Rhinolophus ferrumequinum: one gene and its partners. The protein of the gene in region 3 purifies or fractionates together with the protein of the main gene of each other region. This does not show direct contact. Links are inferred from orthologs where the notes say so. Each region holds a gene or a part of one and is shown on either strand. Other genes may lie near its edges. The genes, in order: ATF7IP, FAF2 and SETDB1.

Region 1 (7,819 bases), on a different chromosome or scaffold from region 3:
ATGGGAACCATTTCATCTATTTAGGTCACCTATGTATCTTGGAAGATGGTTTAGATACCCCTTCCATTCTCTGAGGACTTCCTGTATTTGTTTTCTATCACCAAGTTACAAATTACCACAAACTTGGTAACTTAAAACAATGTGTATTCATTATCTCAGTTTCTGTGTATCAGGAGTTTGGGTCTGACTTATATGGATCCTCTGCTCAGAGTCTCACAAAGATACAATCAAGGTATTAATTGGACTGCATTTTCATCTGAGAGCTTGACTGGTAAAGAATTTGCTTCCAAGCTCATTTGGTTTGTTGGTAGAATTTATTTCCTTATGGCTATACGATTGATGTTCGTACCTTTTTTTTCTGGTTGTTGGCTGCAGCCTACCCTCAGGTCCTAGAGGCTACCCAAAGATTCTATAAGCCACTTGTAGTAACTTTCCATGTGGGCTTCCTCAACTTGGCTGCTTAGTTCATCAAACCAGCAAGAAGAATCTCCTCAGGGAAGGCCCAATTCCTTTTTAAAGGGCCTTTTCCACATTAAGTCAGGTCCAACCACGATAATCTCTCTTTTGGTTGACTCCATATTGATATTTGGCACTTTAATTACATCTGCAAAATTCTTTCATCTTTGCCATATTCTATTGACTAGAAGCAAGTCATGGGTTCTGCCCACACTCCAGTGGACAGGATTATACAGATGTGAACACAAAAAGGTAAAGATTATTTTAGAGGTCTGTTTACCACACTTCCTATTCCCAAGAGTTGTTTCTTGAGTTTTCCCAGGTTTGCCTACTTAACACTTCAGTAAACTTCTCTGCAAATTGGAGGACAATAATATAAATTATCAGGTTGTAGTTAATTCATATTCTTTCTTAATGGTAGTGTCAGATGTGCAGATAGAAAGTGCTCAAGTTAAGCTATATCTGTACTATTACTATTCTAACAAGTACTGTTACTACTATTACTATTATTACTACTACAATTACTATTAGCTAACACTTATTGAGATATTACTATAACCACTATTGCTCAAAGTGGTTGACCAGAATTTAATCTTCATAAAAACTTTTATCAGATAGAAGCTATTTTTTATCCCATTTTATATTTCAGGAACTATTTGCATAGAGAAGTTTAGAACATGCAGCAAGTAAGAAGTAGAGATAAGATTCCAATTCAGGTAGTAAGCCTTCAGAGCCCATTTTTGTAAGCACTATTATTAGTCTGTCTTTCATGTTATAGTACTTAGAAACTTCAGTTTTCCTTTTCAGCTATTTCTTTTTCCAGTTTATTCTATTTTTTTTTTAATTGGGGAACAGTGTGTTTTCCCGGGATGTCAAGGCATCGTTTTCAGTCTAGTTGTACAGGGCGCAGCTCACTGGCGCATGTGGGATTCGAACCGGCGACCTTGGTGTTATGAGCAGTGCATTCTAACCACGGAACAAACTGGTCGCCCACTGGTGGCTCAGCTCCAAGCTTAAGCAGCTCCAAACTCTCACTGGTCCACGTGGGAATCGAACCGGTGACCTTGGTGTTATGAGCACTGGCGCTCCAACCACTGAGCAAACCGGCAGCCCACCTGCAGCTCAGTTCCGAGTTCTAGCCATTGTTTTCAATCTAGTTGTGGAGGGTGCTGTTCACTGGCCCATGTGGGAATTGAACCGGCAACCTTGTTGTTAAGAGCTCGCACTCTAACCAACTGAACCATACGACCGCCCCAGTATTCTATTTTTCAAAAGTTCTGTTTTCCTTGTTTAATTTCTGCTCAATTGCTACAACTGAAAATCATTTATGTATGTTTATTATTTTAGGTTGTTTTGGGTTTTGGATTTTTTTTTTCTGTCAGAAGTTCTGAGATCTTGTTTTATTCAGGCATTTTTTTCTAGAAGCATATTCAGAAAGTATGTATAAATAAGGCCATAATGGTGAGTAAAATATGGAAATCTTTCAGTTGTTCTGTGCTAGACCAAGCAGTTCCAATCACATACTTCCACTAGAAGTATTGTATCCCTTATATCCCCACCCCTGAATATTCCTCCTACCATTGAGTCCACCTCAGTCCCCAACTAAAGAACCCCTGAACCTCTCCACAATCCTACAACTAGAAGATTAACATCTTACAAAGTAGGGAGTGTTCAAGCCTGCTTCTATTCTAATTGGTCAGTTGGTGCCACAGGGATTGATAATTATTTTGAACACCATCTTACCTAGAAGTTGAAACTATACCTTTTTTCATTCTTCTGTGTCTTTGAGTTTCTGTTTTATCTAACTTGAATTCTCTTTGTTTTGTACTTATTCTGACAACCACTTTCAGTTCTACATTATGAGTCAGGTCAAATATCACCTTTTCTATGAACTTTTGCTGTATACTACGAGGAAGATTTAGGTCCTCCTGTTTTACATTTCTTTTATACTTAGTGTATACCTCCATGACAATACTGATCTCATATTGTTTATCTGTATATATGACTTATTCCCCATTTAGAAGCAGTGTCATTTCCTGTGGGCATCTCCAATGCTTAGAATAGTATGTGAGTACATAATAAATACTATACTTGTTGAATGAAGAAACAATTGAATTGGTTAGGTCAACCATCAGGTAGAATAGCTGAAGAGACTATAAATGTGTGGTTGAGAATATCTGGGGACAGTCAAATACAATAAAATTGTCTAGTTGAAGACATAGGGAGACAAGTCTAGAATATCAGCATATCTAAGAAAATAGATCAATTGTTGAGTTAGTGCTGAATTATTTTTCCCTTTGCCATTAGCCTAGACAGTTGAGAGTGAAGTATTATAAAAATGATTCCTTTTTACTTGCTTATAGAAGATATACAAAGAGAAACCTAATGGATTCTATTATCCCAATCCCATTTCTCTTACTATAGAATGTAACGTTTAATATCAATGTCAATATTTACAATTTACTGAGCATTTATTTTATAATTGAGCACCTATAACTAAATTGTAACATAAATTTGTTATAATTGAGCCTCTATTTGAAATTTATTGAACACCTATGTACAATTTTCTGTGCTAAGGACTTTACAAAGCTTAGCAATTAAGCAATGCAAGTGTTATTTCCTGACTTAAACCTTTTAAGTGATTCCTCTTTGCTCTCACAATAAAGTCCAGCTTTAGGCAAGAAATCTATTAAACCAGTTCTCATCTTAGAGATTACCTTTTAGGAAGGCATTACTGATTCTCCAAATCTGGATTAGATGATATTTTTTTTTTTTTTTTGTAAGACTTTTTTTTTTTTCAATTGGGGAAGGAGTACAGGACTTTATTGGGGAACAGTGTGTACTTCCAGGCCTTTTTTCCAAGTCAAGTTGTTGTCCTTTCAATCTTAGTTGTGGAGGGTTCCTTTCAGCTTCAAGTTGTTGTCTTTTCATTCTTAGTTGTGGAGGGCACAGCTCAGTTCCAGGTCCAGTTGCTGTTGCTAGTTGCAGGGGACGCAGCCCACCATCCCTTGTGGGAGTCGAACAGGCAATCTTGTGGTTGAGAGAATGCGCTCCAACCAACTGAGCCATCCAGGAGCTCAGTGGCAGCTCAGCTCAAGGTGCCGTGTTCAATCTTAGTTGCAGGGGGCGCAGCCCACCATCCCTTGTGGGACTCGAGGAGTTGAACTGGCAACCTTGTGGTTGAGAGCCCACTGGCCCATGTGGGAATCGAAAAGGCAGTCTTCGGAGTTAGGAGCATGGAGCTCTAACAGCCTGAGCCACCGGGCCGGCCCTAGGTGATATTCTTAAAAGCCACCCAGCATCAACTAAGTTAAAAGGCCCAAATTATAACAACCAGTGTCAACCACCCTGCACTAGTTTCTTAACTATTTACAAAACCTGTTTACTTTTCTGTCTTCTCCACTATAGTATAGATTTCTTGAGGACAGGCGTCTAATATAGGTCTGGAACCCAGTGATTGCTAAATACTGAATGAATTGATTAATTTAAGGGAGAAATTACATTTAAAAACAATAACCAAACTTTACGATCTATTTGTCAAGCTTTTCTTGCTTTGCATAACACACTTACTCTTATCCTATCTTTTTGCCTTCCCAGCCGATTTGAACTACAGGTTTTATCACCATTTTAGAGATAAGAAAACTGACTAACACACTTATTCCACGGAACAGGCAAGTAAGCAGAAGTACTTGGGTGTAGGCCCAGATCTCCCAAAGGAGTAGAACCTTCTCCACTACCTCCTGTGGCTTTCATTAAGGGTTGGCTCCCAATATAAAATTGCATATAAGGAATACAACTTCTAGTGGAAGTATGTGATTGGAACTGCTTGGTCTAGCACAGAACAACTGAAAGAAAAGATGTGTTTTCGTCATTCCTTCATTACTTATACTTAGTATACTTAGTGAGTTTTTAATATAAATCAACATACTCCAGCATTTTTGAAAATCTTCCCCTCGGCTCTTTAACTCTCACCTACCTGTTTCCTTCCTTCCTTCTAAGACTCATAGAGGGCGCTCAAAAAGTGCTACTCACTGGTCGAAGGAAGTTCCACTGAAAAACACCTCACACTGCAACTGAAAGGCACAGCGCCACCACCTCAGACTTCCTTCTCTTTTCCACGACAGGAGGCGTGGCCAATTTCCCTCATTCAAATAAAAAAAAAAATAAGCCAGGCGATTTGCATGGGAAACGTCCAGTCCGTGAGCCTATTGGCTGATAGCACAGGGGGCGTGGTCAACATTACGACCACTGAGCCCCGCCTACAGTAATTTGCATAACGGCCCCGCGCGTGCAAGGGAGAAGCGGGTTTGTTTTTGAATCTGCGGCAGCGCGGCGACGGCGGCGCGGCGGCGGCGGCAGCGGCGGCGGCGGCGGCGCGGCGAGTGAAGTGCGCGAGACTGAGGAGGCAGCATTGGGGACGGCTACGGGAAACGGCTCTCTGGGAAGGATATTGGTTCCCCCGTCCTCATCTCGCGACCCGAAAGGTATATGTGCAATCTAGGGGCTGTTAGAACCATATTTTCTTAAATTACTATTGTATTTCTGAAGAGTCAAGACCGCATTATGGCGGCTGCGGGAGTTGTGTTTGCGCCTGCGCGGTTGCGGAGCTGCGGGCGGGCGCTGCATGGGAGCACGTGATCTTGCGGGTCCGGCTCTAGCTGCAGTTGTGCAGCTGGCGGGGCGGTGGCTGCGCAAGCGCAATATTCATTTTCAAGATCTAATGTTCTTGCTGGACGCCATTTGGGTTCTAGATTTAATTTACCTCCTTCTAGAGGGGTTACATTTTGTTACCCTCAAATTCTCACATTTTTCAGGGAAAACGTTTCTTTTATGTTGTACTTCTGTACTGACCTCAAACTGTTTTCTTATATTTCTCCGATTCTCTGAGAAGCTCTGAGAGACTTAATTTTCTGTAAAAGTGATCGTCACTTGTGGTTCTTGATTATAATTTCACTTTTAGTGTGTTGCTGGATTCCAGTTTATATTTAGGGAGATAAAGATCAGCACCTAGTGGTGTTCTCACGGGAAGTGCATTTATTTGAACTGCATATTTGCAATTATATTTTTAACCCTGTTTTACCAGTGCTGTTATGGAATGTTTACAAAAGAGAAACAATTTGAGTTTTGGAAATATAAGGAGGTCTTGTTTAAGAAGTAATCTTAATCTCCTTGGGTGTTTATTTTTTAAAAATGTTTGATCCTAAGTCAAGGAAGTTTCAATTTTAATCAGTTTGTGTTCCTCTTATACATGCATTTAAGTTTTACACTTTTTCAGTCTCTGGTCACTTGTCTATTACTGCTTCAGTTAGATCATTTTTGTTACTCCTTAAAAATTAAGCCATTTTCTTAGCATTTTGTTTGTTATGATATATAAAATATAACACTTGGTACATTTTTCTGATAAAAAACTCTGCAAAGGTCTCCCACCTACACTGAGGCCATGATGAGGAAGTGAACCATCAATAAAAATAAAAACAAATTAGCTGATTAAAAAAAAAAACTGCCCCATATACATACGTATGAGATAAAATTGTTGTGTTTGATCTTGTTTAAAGTTATAAGTGTGTTCCTGTTTTTACTTTCTTAAAGAAGGTAGTTATAAGTAAGTCACTGATTATTTTAGTTTAAAATGGTAGTGTCATTATATGTAAATCTTATATAACACCCCTGGGAGAAGTTTTATACGATTTACTATAATTCTACCATTGTGCAAATTATTTCTTACTGTTCTAAAAACTTGTAAATGGTTTTCATAAACTTCATTTGTGGTTTGTATATGTAACAATTGGTTTTCTGGTTGGTTATATAACTCAAGTTTAATTCAGTCACCTGCCAGATGAAGAAGTGGTTATTGCTTTTTAATCTTGGTTGCTTTAGGGACGTTTTTATTGCCTAAAATAAGTACCATTACTAAGTATTAAGATGTAATTGAAAGGAATACTTGTGGTTGGTGGATTTTTTTAAAAAATGACATTATATACGAATATGAGATAGAATGGAGTGATAGGAAAAAATTCCTCTTTATTCTATTCTGACAATAAAAAATTGTCGTTCATATAATTCCTGGACTTCTGAAGTCTTCTACACAGAACAGTATTTAGAAGGCAGTTGTGTAATCTTCCCTTTTATACACACCCCTCCCCCACCTCCTTTGACATTGTTTCTGGTGTTTTTTAGAGTTGAAAATTTGTTTTTTCTGTATTAGTGAGTATGTGTATACACATAGATATTTAAGTTAAGAAAAGAACTTTGATCTTAGGGCGTGGTAGACTTTGCACTTCCAGAAAAGTGAAATGTTTTGGTATATCTATCTATCTATCTATCTATCTATCTATCTATCTATCTATCTTTTTTTAAATTTAAGTGTGTTTTTCCAGGACCCATCAGCTCCAAGTTAAGTAGTTATTTCAATCTAGTTGTGGGGGGCGCAGCTCATAGTGGCCCATGTGGGGATCGAACTGGCAAACTTATTGTTAACAGCGCCGCGCTCTAACCAGCTGAGCTAACTGGCTGCTCCTGGTTTATATATTTAAGATGATGTTTTTATTTGAATATACAAATGATTGCCTTGTAGATTAATGTTAAGATTATGAGGTACTTGAAAACACTGAAGAACATAATGTACAATGTAAATATGTATTGATAGGTCAATTTTGCTGTCATGTTTGTTAAAAAGGCAAATACAATTCTATAAACTTAAAACTAAGACTGAAGAATTGTCTGAATATCCACTATTTGTTTATTTGTACTTTATCAATAACAAACATGTTTTGAAATTGTGCTTTCATAGTTGTGATGCCACAAAATTTTGACACATATGCAGCATATATAAATATTAAAACTAGGTCACGCTACGCAAGAATGAAAGTGATTGGGGTCATTTAAAATCTTTTTAGTTTTATGAGTTTAAAGCCTCATAGTATTTAGTTTAGAAATAAAAGTTTTGATGGGGCGGCTGGATGGCTCAGTTGGTTAGAGTGCGAGCTCTCAACAACAAGGTTGCTGGTTCAATTTCCACCATGGGATGGGCTTCGTCCCCTGCAACTAAAGATTGAAAACAGCGACTGGACTTGGAACTGAGCTGCGCCCTCCACAATTAGAGTGAAGGACAACAACTTGGAGCTGGTGGGCCCTGGAGAAACACACTGTTCCCCAATATTCCCCAAAAAAATTTAAAAAAAAGAAAAAGAAAAAAAGGTTTAAGTCATAAACCATTAAAATAGTCTTTTTTTCCCTTTAAAGTGTAATTTGAATGCATGATGGATATATTTAAATATTTTTTACTTATTATAGCACATTTGAAACATGTTGAAATTAATTAGCATTTAGAAATAATTGCTCTAAAAGTTTTGGTGATTTATGT
Region 2 (7,292 bases), on a different chromosome or scaffold from region 3:
TATCCCACAGGCAGTAGCTATATTTCCCGATTTAGTTCCCATGGCTTTACTCTCATAAGTCCACCCACACTCGTGAGGTCTTTGCTCTAAGGATCTAGCCAGTCCCAATATTTATAGACCTTGTACTCTGTACCCAGTGCAGTCCCTAGCCCTGGGGACTCAGTGGTGGCCCAAGCCAACTTGGCCTCTGTTCCCTTCATGGAGGGCAGAGCTGGGAGACAAACGGTAAACTAGATAATATCATCTAGTGATTTAAGTGCTTTGAAGAAAACAAACGTTTAGGTCTCCTCTGAGGATGCAGCCTACACATGCTGAGATCTGGATGTCAAATGGGGTCAGCCCTGTGAGAACTCCAGGAAAGTGCTCCAGGCAGAGGGTACTGCAAATGCAAAGTCCCCGAGGGATTATGAGAACAACAAGGCTTGCAAGTAGCGAGTTCCCTGGAATGAGGTCAGAGGATCGCACAGGGCCTTGTAGGCCCTGGAAAGGAGCTTGGGTTCTATTCTGAGGACAACGGGAAGCCAATGGAAACTTCCGAGCTGGGGAGTGACAGGATCTGATTTACTTGTAAAAAATGATTTAATCCTTGCCATGACCCGTGAGGTAGGGACTATTAGTCTGTTTACAGCTGAGAGATGAGCAAACTGAGGCTTAGAGAGGTTTCCTTGCCAAAGTACACAATCAATTAATGGTGGCATCAGAGTTTGTCCTCAGGTCTCCCTGAAGAACATGAGATGGGCTTTGTGACTTATTTAAGGCAGAACTTTGCCTCCAAACCTTACTTTGTGTCATCAGCCTAAATACCCCTAGCAGAAATCTAAGGATCTATCATATAGTACTAATGAGTGTGGGGATTCCCTTTCTCACTTCTGCTCCTACTTTTTTGGATGAATTTAGTTGAGTCACCTTAATTCCTGTTGGCTTCACTTAACCTATAACGAGTAACCTAATGGGGCAGGAGGCCAAACGAAAACTGTTGCTGACATCTCAATGGCCTGCAATGAAGAGGCCACGTCCCTAACTGACAGGAAACACTGTAAGTTCCAACTGCTCAGAAATTGAGAGCTTATTCTAGGATTTCCAGGACTCCGCAGGACAGAATTTGTCCTTTATTAGGAACAAAATGGTAAGGTGTCAGCAAAGCCTTATTAATAGGATTTGAGAAACATATATTCATTAGATTCTCGGAGATACCTCTCAGTCACAAATTCCAGTGTGTTATAGGCATAAAATTGGGACTCAGAAACCTCCCCCATACACACACATCCTTCCAGAGAATGATGAGATTAATTTTCAATTAAACTGTGTGTTCTTACAGGGCAGCGGCTGTGTCCTGTTTATCTTTTGTAGTATCTGGTCCAGAGCCATTCAATAAATATTTGTTGAATGAATTCCTAAAATCTGTGGATGAATATAATTAATATATCTATTAAAAAGATCTTTGGAATGCTCTAGAACTGCATTTACAATACAGTAGCCACTATCCATATGTGGAAATTGAGCACTTGAAATGTGGCTAGTCCAAATAGAGATGTGGGGTAAGTGTAAAATACACACCAGATTTTGAAGGCTTAGTATAATACACACACACACACACAAAAGGTATTTTGGATACATTGGGTTAAATCAAATATATTACTAAAATTAATCTCACCTGTTATATGTGGCTCCTAGACTATTTTTAATTATGCATGTGGATATTTTATATTTTGATTGGATAGCACTGCTCTAAAAGACAAAATAAAGGCCAAGGGCGAAAAATGCTCGCAAAGGAGAGATCAAGCCTATAATTGATGACACTTTCCATGCTCTTCATCTTGAATTTATCAAAAAAATCTTAGTTTTCTTCCAAGGCATGTGTGGACTCCCATGGCAAAGAAGGATTCTGCTCAGGTCAGAGGGGCAGACTGGAGCTCATGGGGTGAAACGTGGCTTGCAATTATGGCTGACTGACAGTACTTTTCCGAAAAACTGAGTTATCACCATTTTAAAGCAGGGAGATTTCACATGCATACCCAAATTCGTCGGTGCTCTTTAAAAATGAGAAGTTCTGGCAATACTGGTCTCACACAGAAGCCATCAGCTGCCACTAAAACCAGAAACCACTTTTGCACAGGGAAGGGATTCCCCAGTTTGCCATTTTGTATGCCCTACACTGAGGCAATTTCTTGTGGAAGAGTCAAAAAAACAAAACAACAACAAAAAGGAAAATTGTTTGTTGTAACTTTGTCTTTATTCAAGGAAGAAAACAGAAATGTAGAACAAGAACAAGTATGTGTCTTTGAGAAAGTGAAAAACATCCAATGGTGTTTAATGTAAGTACAAAGTATGTCTGTTAAAAGAGTACACCTTAAATTAGAATTACGCAATAAATCCAGAAGGGCATCTGACTTTGCCATCCCGCCCCCAGTTTGTCTGGGTTGAGCATTATTGGAGATGTTGACCAGTACGTCTCCTCAGATGTTTTGAGTTGATGTAATAAATTCTTTAAAGTCACAGCTATTTACATCCAATTTTACCTTAAAGGTGTAAGAAAAATTCCAGGACATGGAGGTTTGTGCAGACCTGGTAAGACCTGACACAGGCCTGAAAGGAAGTAACCAAAACCTAATGTACTTTTCACAAGACTTAGCTTTCAAAGCTCTTTGTCCTATCTCACCTGGTCAATCCTGTGAAGTGGGCAGGGGTGGGATTCTGCAGATAGTGAGGACACTGGGGCCGTGCTAGTGATACGGGCCAACGAATAACCCCCCTAGGCCCCCCCACTGAAACACTTTTTTTCTTTCCTATAGAAATTTTAAGTTTCCTTTTCCCCAGGTTTTTAGCTCCTACCCCTGCTTTAGATAATTACCCTAAAACTTGTGATTCATACTTGTTGAGTGTAATCCATTCTCTGTTGCTCGGGTCCGCTCCTATTTCTTTGGAGTGTACTATGGTTTCTAATAAACTATTCTTTCACCATTTTATTTCTGTGTCTCGTTCGTGCAATTCTTTGTTCGAGTCGCCAAGTACCCTGGACACCGCGCGGAGAAAAGCCAACTCTCCCCTACCCCTAGGAGTCACAGGAGGAGTCTGTGGAAAAGCATGCGTCAGATCCCGACCCCTCTGTCTCCCCAAGGTCTCCGGACAGTGGCCAGAGGAGGCGGATGGCAGGAGAAAAGAGGTGGAAACGCAAAAGGGAGACCTAAAGAGAGGGGGCAGGTTGGAAGGGACAAGGAGCGCGCAGAGGAAAGCAGACATTGAGGTGTGGGGTAGGGTTAAGGCCGTGCAAAGGGTGAGGGTCGGACTGCATTCTAGAAGGAATGCGCTGAGGCCGCACGTCAGGGGCTACTGGGGATTCTCGTTCCACCAATGGCAACACGGAGCGCAGAGAGGAGGTGGTGTGCCCAAGATGTACATCACTTTGCAAGGTGGGCGCTAGCACTTGAACCCAAATCTGATCCCAGTCCCGGGATTTTATTTAGGTCGGTCACAGGGAAGACAGGCCAGTGGGCGAGAGACGCGAGGCCTGGGGCAGCAGGAGCAGAGTCGCACGGGGGTAGACGGAAAGCTTCGCCCAAGGCTGGTAGGCCAATTAAACATCAAAGACCCAGGTGGCCAAGTCCAAATAATCCTGGCAATCAACTTCCATGCAGCGATTTTCCCGCGGTCCCAGCCTTCAACGGCTTCGGACTTGAAGGCGGCGTCGGAAATGCGCAACCAGTATTCGGGGGCTTTCGGAACCTCCCGAGAGATGGTGAGGAACTGTTGGAAACGTCAGGGCAGGAGTCAAACATCAAACGATATTTCGGAAGGGCCACAATTTCCTTAGAAACATTCAAGAATACCGGAGATCCCCGGAAAACGTTTAAGAGGCAGCCGAAATCTGCCGATTCGGGAATTTCCGAAGCTTCTGTGGCATTCGGGAATTTCCGGAGCTTCTCGAGAAGCATTCGGGACTTCTCGGCTCTTTACGATCTCTTCAGGAGTCTTAGGTCCTTAGCAGATCCCTTCTTTGTCCAGGTTGTGAGGGCGACTGGTCTCGACAGGCCCTCGGCAATTTCCGGAAGTGTTCGAGCTAGGTCTGAGAGTGGCGCCCTCTGGCGGTAAGAACTCTCACCACCCCCCACACCCCACCACCCCCTTCTACCCCCTCCTTGCTGGGCCAGGACGCGCAGATGCAGTTGCGCGCCAGCGGCTGTTCCGACCGGATGTGGTTGCTGCTGAGATCAGTTCCGGCGAGTGACGGTGCGGACGGGTCAGAAGCGTAGAGGCGGCGGCAAAATGGCGGCGCCTGAGGAGCGGGATCTAACCCAGGAGCAGACAGAGAAGCTGCTGCAGTTTCAGGTAGCAGCGAATGCTCGGTGCAGCCAGTGCCGCCGCGGGCTGGGGAGTGGGCCCCCAGAGGAGCCCAGAACCCTCCTGAGATTGGGTCCGAGCTGCTTCTGAGACCAGCAGGCGGCCCCCTCCCCCCCCAGACGCCAACTGCCCTGCTGCCCCTGGCCCCCGAGCCTCTGTCGGTTCTCGGCCTTCAGCCTTGGCTGCTGCCATACCCGCCTTTCCCCTCTCCCGTCAGCGAGTCAGCTTCCCTGATGTCCCTTAGCGGCACCCGTCCTCCGCCATCCTTCCCCGGTCGGACACTCTGCCCAACGACTCTGAATCTACCTGAGATGCTTAATCCCCACCGCGGAGTTGGCCTCGTTTCGGGTCCCTGGAAAACCTGCTGCCAGCATCCCATGCCATTTCCACAAACATTTACTGAGGGCTTCTTAGGTGCCAGGTTTTGTGTTGGGCGCTCTGGTGGGGGAAGGGCGGGCCTGGCTCCCGCCCTAAAGGTGTGGGAGGACACCATGTAAGGAGACAAGTGCTACGTTATAAATGTCATCAGTGGCTTCTGACAGGGTTTACTACCCTGGGCTTAGTCCTGAAGTCACGTGCTTGACTGTGCTTGAGGAGGATGGTAACTTGCAGAAATCGGCCTCAGTGGGTGTGGAGTTGAGAACTTCTGGCACTAAGCACTTTTCTCTGAGTTTGATGGAGAATCTGGGTGGAGGAGACCACCAGGGTGGGTTAACCTTGGCTCTTTGTTACCCTGATACCAGTTTCCTTATTGTTTCTAAAATATACACCTTAAAAATGTTTGCTCCCTAAGGGTGTTCTGGAGATTTAATGAGTTTATGGATGTCTGAAGGACTTTGTAAACTGTAAAATGCTCCCAAACAGTATTGCTGCTTATTAATCATTATTTAACTTAGGAAAGAATTAAAGTTTGTGGTACGTTTTTTCCTAATGTAAAAATGTGCTAAATATTTATTCGTTTCAGCAGTTACTTACCAACAACCTTAGTGCTCAGGCACTGCTAGTTAGTAAGTGGTGGTGTCAGATTTAAAGCTGGGTCCATCTTTCTAGAACCTTTCCTGAGCTCTTGACTTGTGTGCTATACAACCTGGATAAATATCAGTGTTCAACTGAGTGTGGACTGCAAATGCTGTGATACTGGGTTTTTTGTTTTCTTTTTTTAACAACTTCTCACTTTTCTGTAATTTCCTTGATTTTACCGTAATTGATTTTGAAGTGTTTTTTTCTCTTCAACTGAGTAGTGATATCTGAAACTAATAGAATATTGTGTGTTAATTATACATCAGAAAAAATGAGCAGGGGGTTGGACGTGTACCTATAAGTGGAAAAATACTATTGGAAGTAGTTGACATTTGATTGGAGTTTTGAGTAGAGAAATGGATGACACGGTAAATTAGAATCAGAATGAATAAACAGCTTCCACTTCCTGGTAGACCACTAATTGCAGAGTTTTGTTTAACTTTGGCAGATCGTTTTACCCACTACAGCGTTTCAGGGATAAGACCCCTGTTGTTAAATGTAACGTGGTGCTCTGAGTTGTAAGTCATGATGTACTTGGTAGTATGCTGGTGGGAGAACATGATTACGTGCTAGCATTTCTGAGATAAAGTGCATAGGAACCTCTGTTTTAGTCGTCATCGGACATCTCTCAGTAAGAGAGGCGAGTAGCAGGTTAAAGTTGAATTGAGATTGCGTTATGAAATTGGATTTAATAAGGCAAATGTATTTTACATTTATGTGTTCTTTAAGCAGTTGCTGGATCAGGTTCATCATCCGAATTGCCATTAAACGTTCTTTGAAATTTACTAGGTGTCAAGCACTATACCAGGTATTTGATGTACATTAACTCTTTCAAACCTCTTAAAATAACACCATAAGGTGTTAACCGCGTCGATTTATTGATGAAGAAACAGGCTCTGAGAGGTCAGGTAGCTTGCACAAGGAGTAAGTGGCCGAGAGTTAGAGATCCATACCCATAACCATCTGTTTGGTCTACAAGCTAATGGAGAAGCCACATACATACATGAACGAGTACCGTGCAGTGTGTTAGTGCTCCTAGTGCGGTATGGTGTAAACTAAGCGCTGTGGGGATTTAGGGAACGATAGGAGCACTGGTGGGGGTAAGGGGGCAAAGAAGGATGGCTAATAGTTAATCAGTATCTCCTGTGCCTTTGTGCTTGTCATCCTCGCAGTAGCCTTGCAAAAAGTGCCGTAAGGAAACAGATCTATTGAAATATTTGCTTAAGGTCACTAAGCTATTAAGTAGTGGAGATGGAATTAGAGTTAGAAATCTAGTGGTTCTGGCTCTGGACTTCAAGGCTGGGCTCTTTGCACCCACTGTACTTGGCCACTTTGAAGGAGGAACAGAATTTCAACAGGTGAAGGACATGAGGAGAGGATTCATAGCTGAGGAAACAGCTCAAGCAAGGTGTGGAGATGGAGTGTGGAATGTGTTTGTTGCGATGGGTTTCTAGAAGTGGAAGTGGAAAATAAGACTGGAAAGGTAAATTAGAGCCAGGGCCTCCAAAGCCTTTGAAAGGTTTAAATTTTAACCTGTAGGCATGGGAGCCATCACAGGTTTTTTTCAACTCGGGAGTGACATAACACTAGGTTTCAGGTTTGCTTCACTAAGAGTGTGGGGCATGCGCTTGGAATCCCCACAGGGGTTGGGACAGAACAGAGTGAAACTGCTAGGAGCTGGTTCTCAACATGTTGCTTCATTTGATATATTGAAATTAGTAAAAGTAAAATATTTTAGAAATCTCAGGTTTCGTCTCTTTCACATTTTTGTGACATGTGGTTTGATTGCAACTCCCTAGGATATGTTTATCATGCTTCTCAGTCCGTTTGATGTCTTCCAAGATTTTTGTAGTTATCCTTGTCTCCTATTTATTTTGGAGCCAGTTGAGTGTGAATAACTAATGCAGACATTTGTTTTAAGCTGTTTCAAGTGG
Region 3 (7,529 bases):
AGCCATAGCCTTGGCATCGGAGTGGGAAGCATCACTGGGACTTGGGCAGGGACCTGGACCAGCTTATAAGTCACTTTAGAGGAGACATGGACCCACAGCATCATGCTGGACCGGGCATTAGCAGTGATACCAAATGGTTCGGAGACGTAACTCTAACCACACACTGTTAGCAGAGACTTGATCATTGTTTCTGGTCCCAACTCTTGGAAGCAGGATTGAGCAGAGTAAATTCCCAGGATTATTCGAAAATGGAGGCAGGGGAACCAAAGCCTTCCAATGGAGGTACTAGAGTTTACGAAAGAGAAAGAGAGAGAGAGAAATACGATTTGTACCCTGATTTAATGAAAAGAAATCCAGGGTAAGGTGACAGTCAGGGTAAAACAAAATCAGATTAAGATTGATGTAGTACATGAGGGCTACAGTGTGTGCCCCCCAAAAAACTCAGAAATTAATGTTTCCCATACCCCTTAAAATAAAATGCAGGACAAACACACGATTAATGAGAGCATCAGTCTGCGGTCACTAGAGAGTCACAGGTCTGTTACCTAACTTTCTCCAGTAACCTACCTAAGAAAAAAACGCATCACTCAGAAGAAGTAGACCGTCAGTGAAAGCAGAGAAGGAGGAACAAGTCGCAGGTCCAAAGTGAATGCTATTCAGGAGACTGGGCGTTTCTAGTCCCTGGGGCTGAATAGTCCTTGTGTGAAGGTTCAGTGAGTTGCCGCCCACAAATCGTTATCTGGTTTTACTGCGCACATTATCTCTGCCAATCCGATGTCCTTAGGCATTCCTTTCACACACACACCTCTCCCCCTTAAATTGTCAGCTACAGATCCCGTCGCTCTGCAGAGAAGTTTCACTGGGCCAGGCCCCTTCCAGTGTTCATCTACAAAGCGCGTGTGGGTGTGCGTTAGATTCTCTTATTTGTTTTTTTGAGTCAACATTTTCAAATTATGTTATAAAAGTAACAAAATGCACATGGTAAAAAAAAAATTGCTTTCAAACTATTACCTAAGGATAAAAATGCACAAAATTCTTATACACTGCCTTGTTCCCCAATCCTTCCTTCCAGGGGTAACTGCTGTTAAAGTAGTTTGTTTTTGCATGTATGTGTATCTTTCCAGACAGTTTTCTGTTCTTTTTCTTTTTCATGTAATGTGTGAATAAACTACTTTTATGTTTTAGTATTCAAAAGGGATAAAATTGTGTACTGTGAGAACCCTTACTGTCACTCTTGCCCCCACCCTTCCATTTGCCCTCTTCAGAGACAACCAGTGTTAATTTCTTAAGTCTCCTTCCAGTGATATTTTAGGTATATGTATATTGTTGCCACTGTTTACACAAATAATAGCATGCTATGTATCGTATTCTGCACCTGCTTTTCTCATTTAATAGTAAGATAACATCATAACAACGCACAAAGAGTTTCCTCAACCTTTTTTAAAAACACAGCAGGAGTTTGGGTGTGCCGTAATTTGTTTAACCACCCCCTGCTGATGGAAATTGCTATTGTTTCTAAATATTTTGCTATTTCAAACAATGTTGCAGAAGATAATTTAGCACATATCATTTCAAAGGCGTGCGATTTCAACCGTATGTATGACCTAGAAGTCGAAGTGCTGGCTTAAAGAGTATTTTACAAAATTTTTGAATTAGTTGTCAACATTCAAAACTCGAAAGTTTTCATAGAAAAATATGAATTTTTTAAGTCCCTTGAAAAATTGGAGATCCGGTAACATTGTATCTATCACACAGGACAAAAATTAACTGAAGTTAAGTAGCAGCTGCTCCCTGGAGATGACACATGCATTTCCCAGGTGACCACACTCCTCACCCACCCCATTTTGCTCCTTTACTTTCTTGATGCCTGAAACGCTTTGTTTTTAATCCCTTTCTTCTTTTGTTTTGATTCTGAGATCACTCAGCAACCTTTAGATTATGATCTAATTTCCCTTAAGTCTGTTATAGGGAAAGGATCATTTGGCATTCCAAGGTTTTGGCCCTTGGGCTATGACTTCTCGTGGTCAAGTATTAAGTAGCATGTGGTTGTGATGTTTCACAATGGATTGCCGGAATGAATGTGCTGAGCACACCAACGTGAATAGTCCAATTGGTGTATCAGTTATTTATGACTTTATATTATTAAACTGGCAATAAACTACGTCAATAAGGTGTACAACTTAATAATGTGAGTCATTTATAACAGGACCTAATCATCTCCAACAAGAGTTCGTCTTCAGATCTTAACAAAAACAAAGCCAAATCTTGGCCCTGCCCTAGAAAGGATTACACAGCTCAAACTTGCCTTTCCTACAGTGCTTCTCATATTTTAGTGAACACACACATTACCTGGAGGTCTTATTAAAATTCAGATTCTGATTCAGTACATCCTTAATGGGACCAGCGACTTAGAATCTCTCACAAGCTTCCCGTTGTGCAAGGCTTTTAGAAGCCACTTCCTGCATCCCACTGCTGATTTCTACGTCTCATTGTTTCAACCTTCTCAGAGCAATGAAGAAATCAGACTGGAATATGATGCCCCAAATAGCTTGTTATTTCTCTTCAACATTCCCCATTCCTTATTTCTACCCCAAACCACCCACACACGTCAGAAAGCTGAAAGAATCTAACAGAAACTGTGGGGACAGAGCCCCAGGAGAGCAGTTTCCAGGCTCTCGACTTCACGTGGAAAGGTGCTGGTTCGGGGAGTAGATGGCCATCTGCTGTGACTAGTTGGCCATAAGCTGTAACCAGTTAGCTATTGGCCACTAATATAACTGCCGTGGCTATGCTTGTGTGTTGGTTGGTTGGCAGAGAGGTGGATGGCAGATTGCAGCTACCAAGTGGGGTGAGTTGGTTGACAGAGAAGCAGACAGCAGATTGCAGCTCCTGCTTCCTGTGTGACTGTGGGGACAGAGCCCCAAAAAGCAGTTTCCAGGCTCTCGGCCTCACATAGAAGGGTGCTGGCTCAGGTAGTAAATGACCATCGACTGTGATCAAATGGCCAGCAGCTGTGGCTAGTTGGTCGTCAGCTGTAACCAGTGAGCCATTAGCCATGAATATAACTGCCGTGGCTAGGCTAGGGGAAGAGGCTAGCAAAGAGAAAAAAGAAAAAAGGGGGAGCTAGCAAGAAGATGGTGGCTGAGTCTGCAAGCGGCACATAGAGGGTTGAGAATTGTGTGGTTCCTGGTTCCTGTGTCTCCAAACCAGTCGCCAGTGAGAATATAGTGGTGTGACTCCCCTACCTATGGCTCCGTGGGTGTTCCTTTTTGGCCTCACCATGTCCTGCGTTCTTGTGTGGGGGGCGGGACCGGAGACCCCGCCGGACGCCCCGCATGACACTTGGCGTAGTCGGCAGGATCCCCTGCACTACAGTGACACACAGGGTGGCATGCTGGGTCTCTGGTCCCGCTCCCCACATAAGAACGCAGGACATGGTGAGGCCAAAAAGGAACACCCACAGAGCCACAGATAGGGGAGTCATACCACTATATTCTCGCTGACGGCTGGGTTGGAGACACAGGAAGCAGGAGCCACCCTATCCACAACCTGCCGTCCACTTCTCTCTGCCAACCAATAAAGTAATCTTTATTGCTAGCTGCAATCCGCCATGCTAACTGCAATCCCTGCTTGCTAGCTCAGCCTCCATCCTCTTGCTAGCCCCCATCTGCTGCTAGCATAAGCACGGCAGTTATATTAGTGGCCAATGGCTCACTGGTTACAGCTGACGGCCAACTAGCCACAGCTGATGGCTATCCAATCACAGTTGATGGTCATTTACTACCTGAGCCAGCACCTTTCCACGTGAGGCCGAGAGCCTGGAAACTGCACTTCTGGCTCTGTCCCCACACTCAGATCCCATTCGGGGGAATGTCTTCCACAGAAATAGAAGTACTACTTCAAAAGGATGTTAAAGTTTATTGTTGCATTATTGGTAGTGGCTAAAAACTAAAAATAATTTAAATTTCTAAACATGGTTTAGACAAACTTTGAAGTATTATGCAACTGGCAGACAAATTTTATCCTTTTTATTGACTTCAAGGGATGTCCACGTGTTAAATGTAAGCAAAACAAAACAAACAAAGAAATTTCACACACATGACCTTGTACCTACAAGCCTAGAAAACTAAGCTAGTATTTTACTTCAAAGGAGCAGGGGTGGTTAAGCCTTGAGAGAGGAGAGGATATTATCATGTTTTTCTTATTACTTACATCTTGCTATTCCTTGACTTGTTACACTTTGTATGACCTACATAATAAAACAAAAGCCAGTAAAAGTGAGAGAAAAATATGTAAACCTGAGTGTCGACCCACTGAATCTTTACTTAACAAACAGTATTGCTGCCACCATTTGGTGTGGGGGTGGAAGAGGCGGAGCTTCTGTAATATATTCCAGACCACGCCCACTTTACTTGGCCAATCGCTTCTCACGTGTGCCCTGGACGGCTCGCTTTGACGCATGCGTACTCGCCTGAATTTGCCTAGCCTCAGAGGGTTGCCCTGCAAGCTTTGGGTTTGACCCCATCGGGCTACCGTCGCCGGGACCGGAACGGCACCTGAGGTTTGCTTCCGGGCGTCTCTTTTGCTTCCCTTTCCCTCCCCTCACGTTTTTACCTTCCCCCTGCTCCCTTTTCTCTTTCGTTCTCTCCCGTAGAGGCCCACCCCTGAGGCGTGAGTCTGGGGTCTGGTTGGTGAAAAAGAGCTATTGTAGCTGGAAGCAGGGAGGTGTGGGACATTAACTGAGGTATTTGGAAACCAAGGGCTTGTCTGGAATGTTTTGTTTGTGGGAGGAGGTCGGGTGAGGGTGGGAAGGAAGTTTTCCCCCTGCGGCGAGCGGGGGCGGGGTTGAGCTGGGTTTGCAGGAGCGTGGGACGCACCCCTGCAATGGGTAACACAGGGGTGGGGCGGGATGTGGGCAAAGTGAAAAGTGGAGGCGCTGAGAACTGGCATTGGGGTTCCCCCGGCGTACTGGCATCAGTTTTGCTTTAACCATTTGATCAGAAAGGCAGCTAACATCAATGTGTGGGTTATTTGGATTGTAGGTTTTAGGTAGCCACGTTTTATTCCAGGTTGCTTTTTTCCCCTTGCTTTGGAGAAATCTCGTTGCTGCAAGCTTTTGTGTGCTTAAGTAGTATAGACTCTTCAAAAAGTAAATTTCCACATGTAATGTAAGGAGAACAGCTAATTAAAGAGAAAACAGTGAGTTAGTGAGTGATAGACCGACCTCTCCTCTCCAACTGGAGGTATTTGTTCAAGCTAGGCAATAGCGTGCAGCCTCCTTTTATTGCACTTTATTGCGCTTCACAGGTGTTACGTTTTTTAGAAATTGAAGGCAAAGATCCTCTACCAGCAAAAAGATTATTGCAATACTCGCTTTATTGAGGTGTCTGGAAGCCCAACCCACAATATCTATGAGGAATGCTTATATCTTAGTAAATCGGCTCTCTTGAGTTTCCGAAAACATTATTTCCAGTAGTTCCCTGTTGTACAGTATATGCCCTCTCAAACTTTTAAATCTTACTCAGGCTTAAAGTCTATAGAGTAAGATGAGAACTCTGTAGAATCTCAGCATCATATAGTGGAGAATGGGGAGAGAGACCAGAATCAAACCTAACTATATTTGAATAACAAGTAAGGAGTAGAAAGGAGTTTTATTAGAGGGCCGAAATTCTCTGTTGCGGTTATAATGACTCCAGAGGTAATTTTAGCTTTCTCTTCCATGTAGAGGACAACAGCATGTCCTCCCTCCCTGGGTGCCTTGGGTTGGATGCAGCCACAGCTGCAGTGGAGTCCGAAGAGATTGCAGAGCTGCAGCAAGCAGTGGTTGAGGAGCTAGGCATCTCTATGGAAGAACTGCGGCAGTTCATCGATGAAGAACTGGAAAAGATGGACTGTGTACAGCAGCGCAAGAAGCAGCTGGCAGAGTTGGAGACGTGGGTCATACAGAAGGAATCTGAGGTGGCCCATGTTGACCAGCTCTTTGATGATGCATCCAGGTGAGGACTGCATGGGAGGAAATCTCTCCATTGGCAGACATTTTTAAAGTATAATTGTTCATGACACTGTGTCACGCACCTTATAGTTTACAAGCTACAGATGTGCAAAACCTGACTCTGCCTCAAAGGTTAGAGTCCAATATCTTACCTCACCACCATCCATATACAGAGGCTGCCAAAAAAATGTATATACATTTTAAGAAAGGAACAAACGGTATTAAAATTGTAATACTCTATATACTGATAACAAAAGATGAGGACGGTCATATGTATACATTTTTTTGGCACCCCCGGTATATAGAATATTCATCTATCAGAGCCTAATATGTGATCGGAAGTAGGGGCCAGATCTTGAGTCCCTTCCCTTCTTCCTCTTGTGCTCTACTTCAGAACAAGTGCTTTGTTTTCTTAGTAAGATCATCTGAGGATTGAGGATTGTGAAGAGTTACTGTCTTATGTAACTGGAGCATTAATAAGGTCCTAGGGCCCTAGAAGATTTATTTCTGGTGCCCTGGTTGTCACTTAGGACACATTTTCGAATAACAAGGTAGATGATGAGATGTGTTTGAAAGGACTGTATTTTGGGCTTACTGTGGATTTTTGAGGAACTAGTCTGGAAACCGCTACTGAAACATTTTTCTATGGGAAAAGCATTCTATTCTAAACAGAGATGCTTTGGAATATGGCTGTTTAAATTGAGGTCAGCATATACTTAAATATATATAAATTCGAATGGCTCTACACCTACTGACCTTTTCTACATGTGTTCCAATATTAGGGCAGTGACTAATTGTGAGTCTTTGGTGAAGGACTTTTACTCCAAACTGGGACTACAGTACCGGGACAGTAGCTCCGAGGATGAAGCTTCCCGGCCTACAGAAATAATTGAGATTCCTGATGAAGATGATGATGTCCTCAGTATTGATTCAGGTAAGAGATGAAGCTGTGGATCGGAAAGTCTCAGAATTGAAATTGAAACACTAGAAGATGAGAAGATGGAAGAGAGGAGAAACCACTGTCACTAACTCCATATTCCTAACGTTGGACTTGTCTGATACAGGAAGAAATAGAATATTGTTAGTATCAGAGTGTCTCCTACACGCTACTTCCTGATTGGTTATCCTCCTTTCTTTTTATAGGTGGCATTAGCACCTATGTATATATCCCAAAACAGTACATTGTTTGGTTTTATCTATTTTTTAATAGTTTTTTTTAAGGTATAATTTATGTACGATAAACTGCACCCGCTGTAAGTGTACAGTGTGCGTTTTAGTACATTTATACAGTAATGCAAACTTCAGCGCAATTTAGTTTTAGGACACTTGCGTCACCCCAAAACATTCCCTCGAGCCTGTGTGCGCAGTCTCTGTGGTTACCCCAGCAACCACTGATCTGCTTTCTTTCCGTAAAGTTCTGTCTTTTCTAGAAATTTCATATAAATAGAATCACAATATGTCTTCTGTGGTGTGTCTGGCTTCTGTCACTTAACATAAGGTTTTCGAGGTTCATCCATATTGTTGCATGTGTCGGTAG

Evidence for each region.
Region 1: the proteins of SETDB1 (region 3) and ATF7IP purify together in Homo sapiens (affinity purification with mass spectrometry; 6 studies listed by BioGRID and IntAct, counting the BioPlex papers as one, with this or other methods). This does not show direct contact. The link is inferred for Rhinolophus ferrumequinum from reciprocal best matches to the Homo sapiens genes SETDB1 and ATF7IP.
Region 2: the proteins of SETDB1 (region 3) and FAF2 purify together in Homo sapiens (affinity purification with mass spectrometry; 3 studies listed by BioGRID and IntAct, counting the BioPlex papers as one, with this or other methods). This does not show direct contact. The link is inferred for Rhinolophus ferrumequinum from reciprocal best matches to the Homo sapiens genes SETDB1 and FAF2.

The regions. Positions count from the first base shown.
Region 1 is NC_046293.1:28,749,016-28,756,834, forward strand, and holds the start of ATF7IP (activating transcription factor 7-interacting protein 1), read left to right. Parts: upstream 1-4,794; 5' UTR 4,795-4,940; intron 4,941-7,819. UniProt on the Homo sapiens protein: Recruiter that couples transcriptional factors to general transcription apparatus and thereby modulates transcription regulation and chromatin formation. Can both act as an activator or a repressor depending on the context.
Region 2 is NC_046307.1:6,067,411-6,074,702, reverse strand, and holds the start of FAF2 (FAS-associated factor 2), read left to right. Parts: upstream 1-4,200; 5' UTR 4,201-4,263; coding exon 4,264-4,326; intron 4,327-7,292. UniProt on the Homo sapiens protein: Plays an important role in endoplasmic reticulum-associated degradation (ERAD) that mediates ubiquitin-dependent degradation of misfolded endoplasmic reticulum proteins.
Region 3 is NC_046305.1:51,057,057-51,064,585, forward strand, and holds the start of SETDB1 (histone-lysine N-methyltransferase SETDB1), read left to right. Parts: upstream 1-4,490; 5' UTR 4,491-4,561; intron 4,562-4,583; exon of another isoform or gene 4,584-4,744; intron 4,745-5,725; 5' UTR 5,726-5,736; coding exon 5,737-5,996; intron 5,997-6,774; coding exon 6,775-6,926; intron 6,927-7,529. UniProt on the Homo sapiens protein: Histone methyltransferase that specifically trimethylates 'Lys-9' of histone H3. H3 'Lys-9' trimethylation represents a specific tag for epigenetic transcriptional repression by recruiting HP1 (CBX1, CBX3 and/or CBX5) proteins to methylated histones.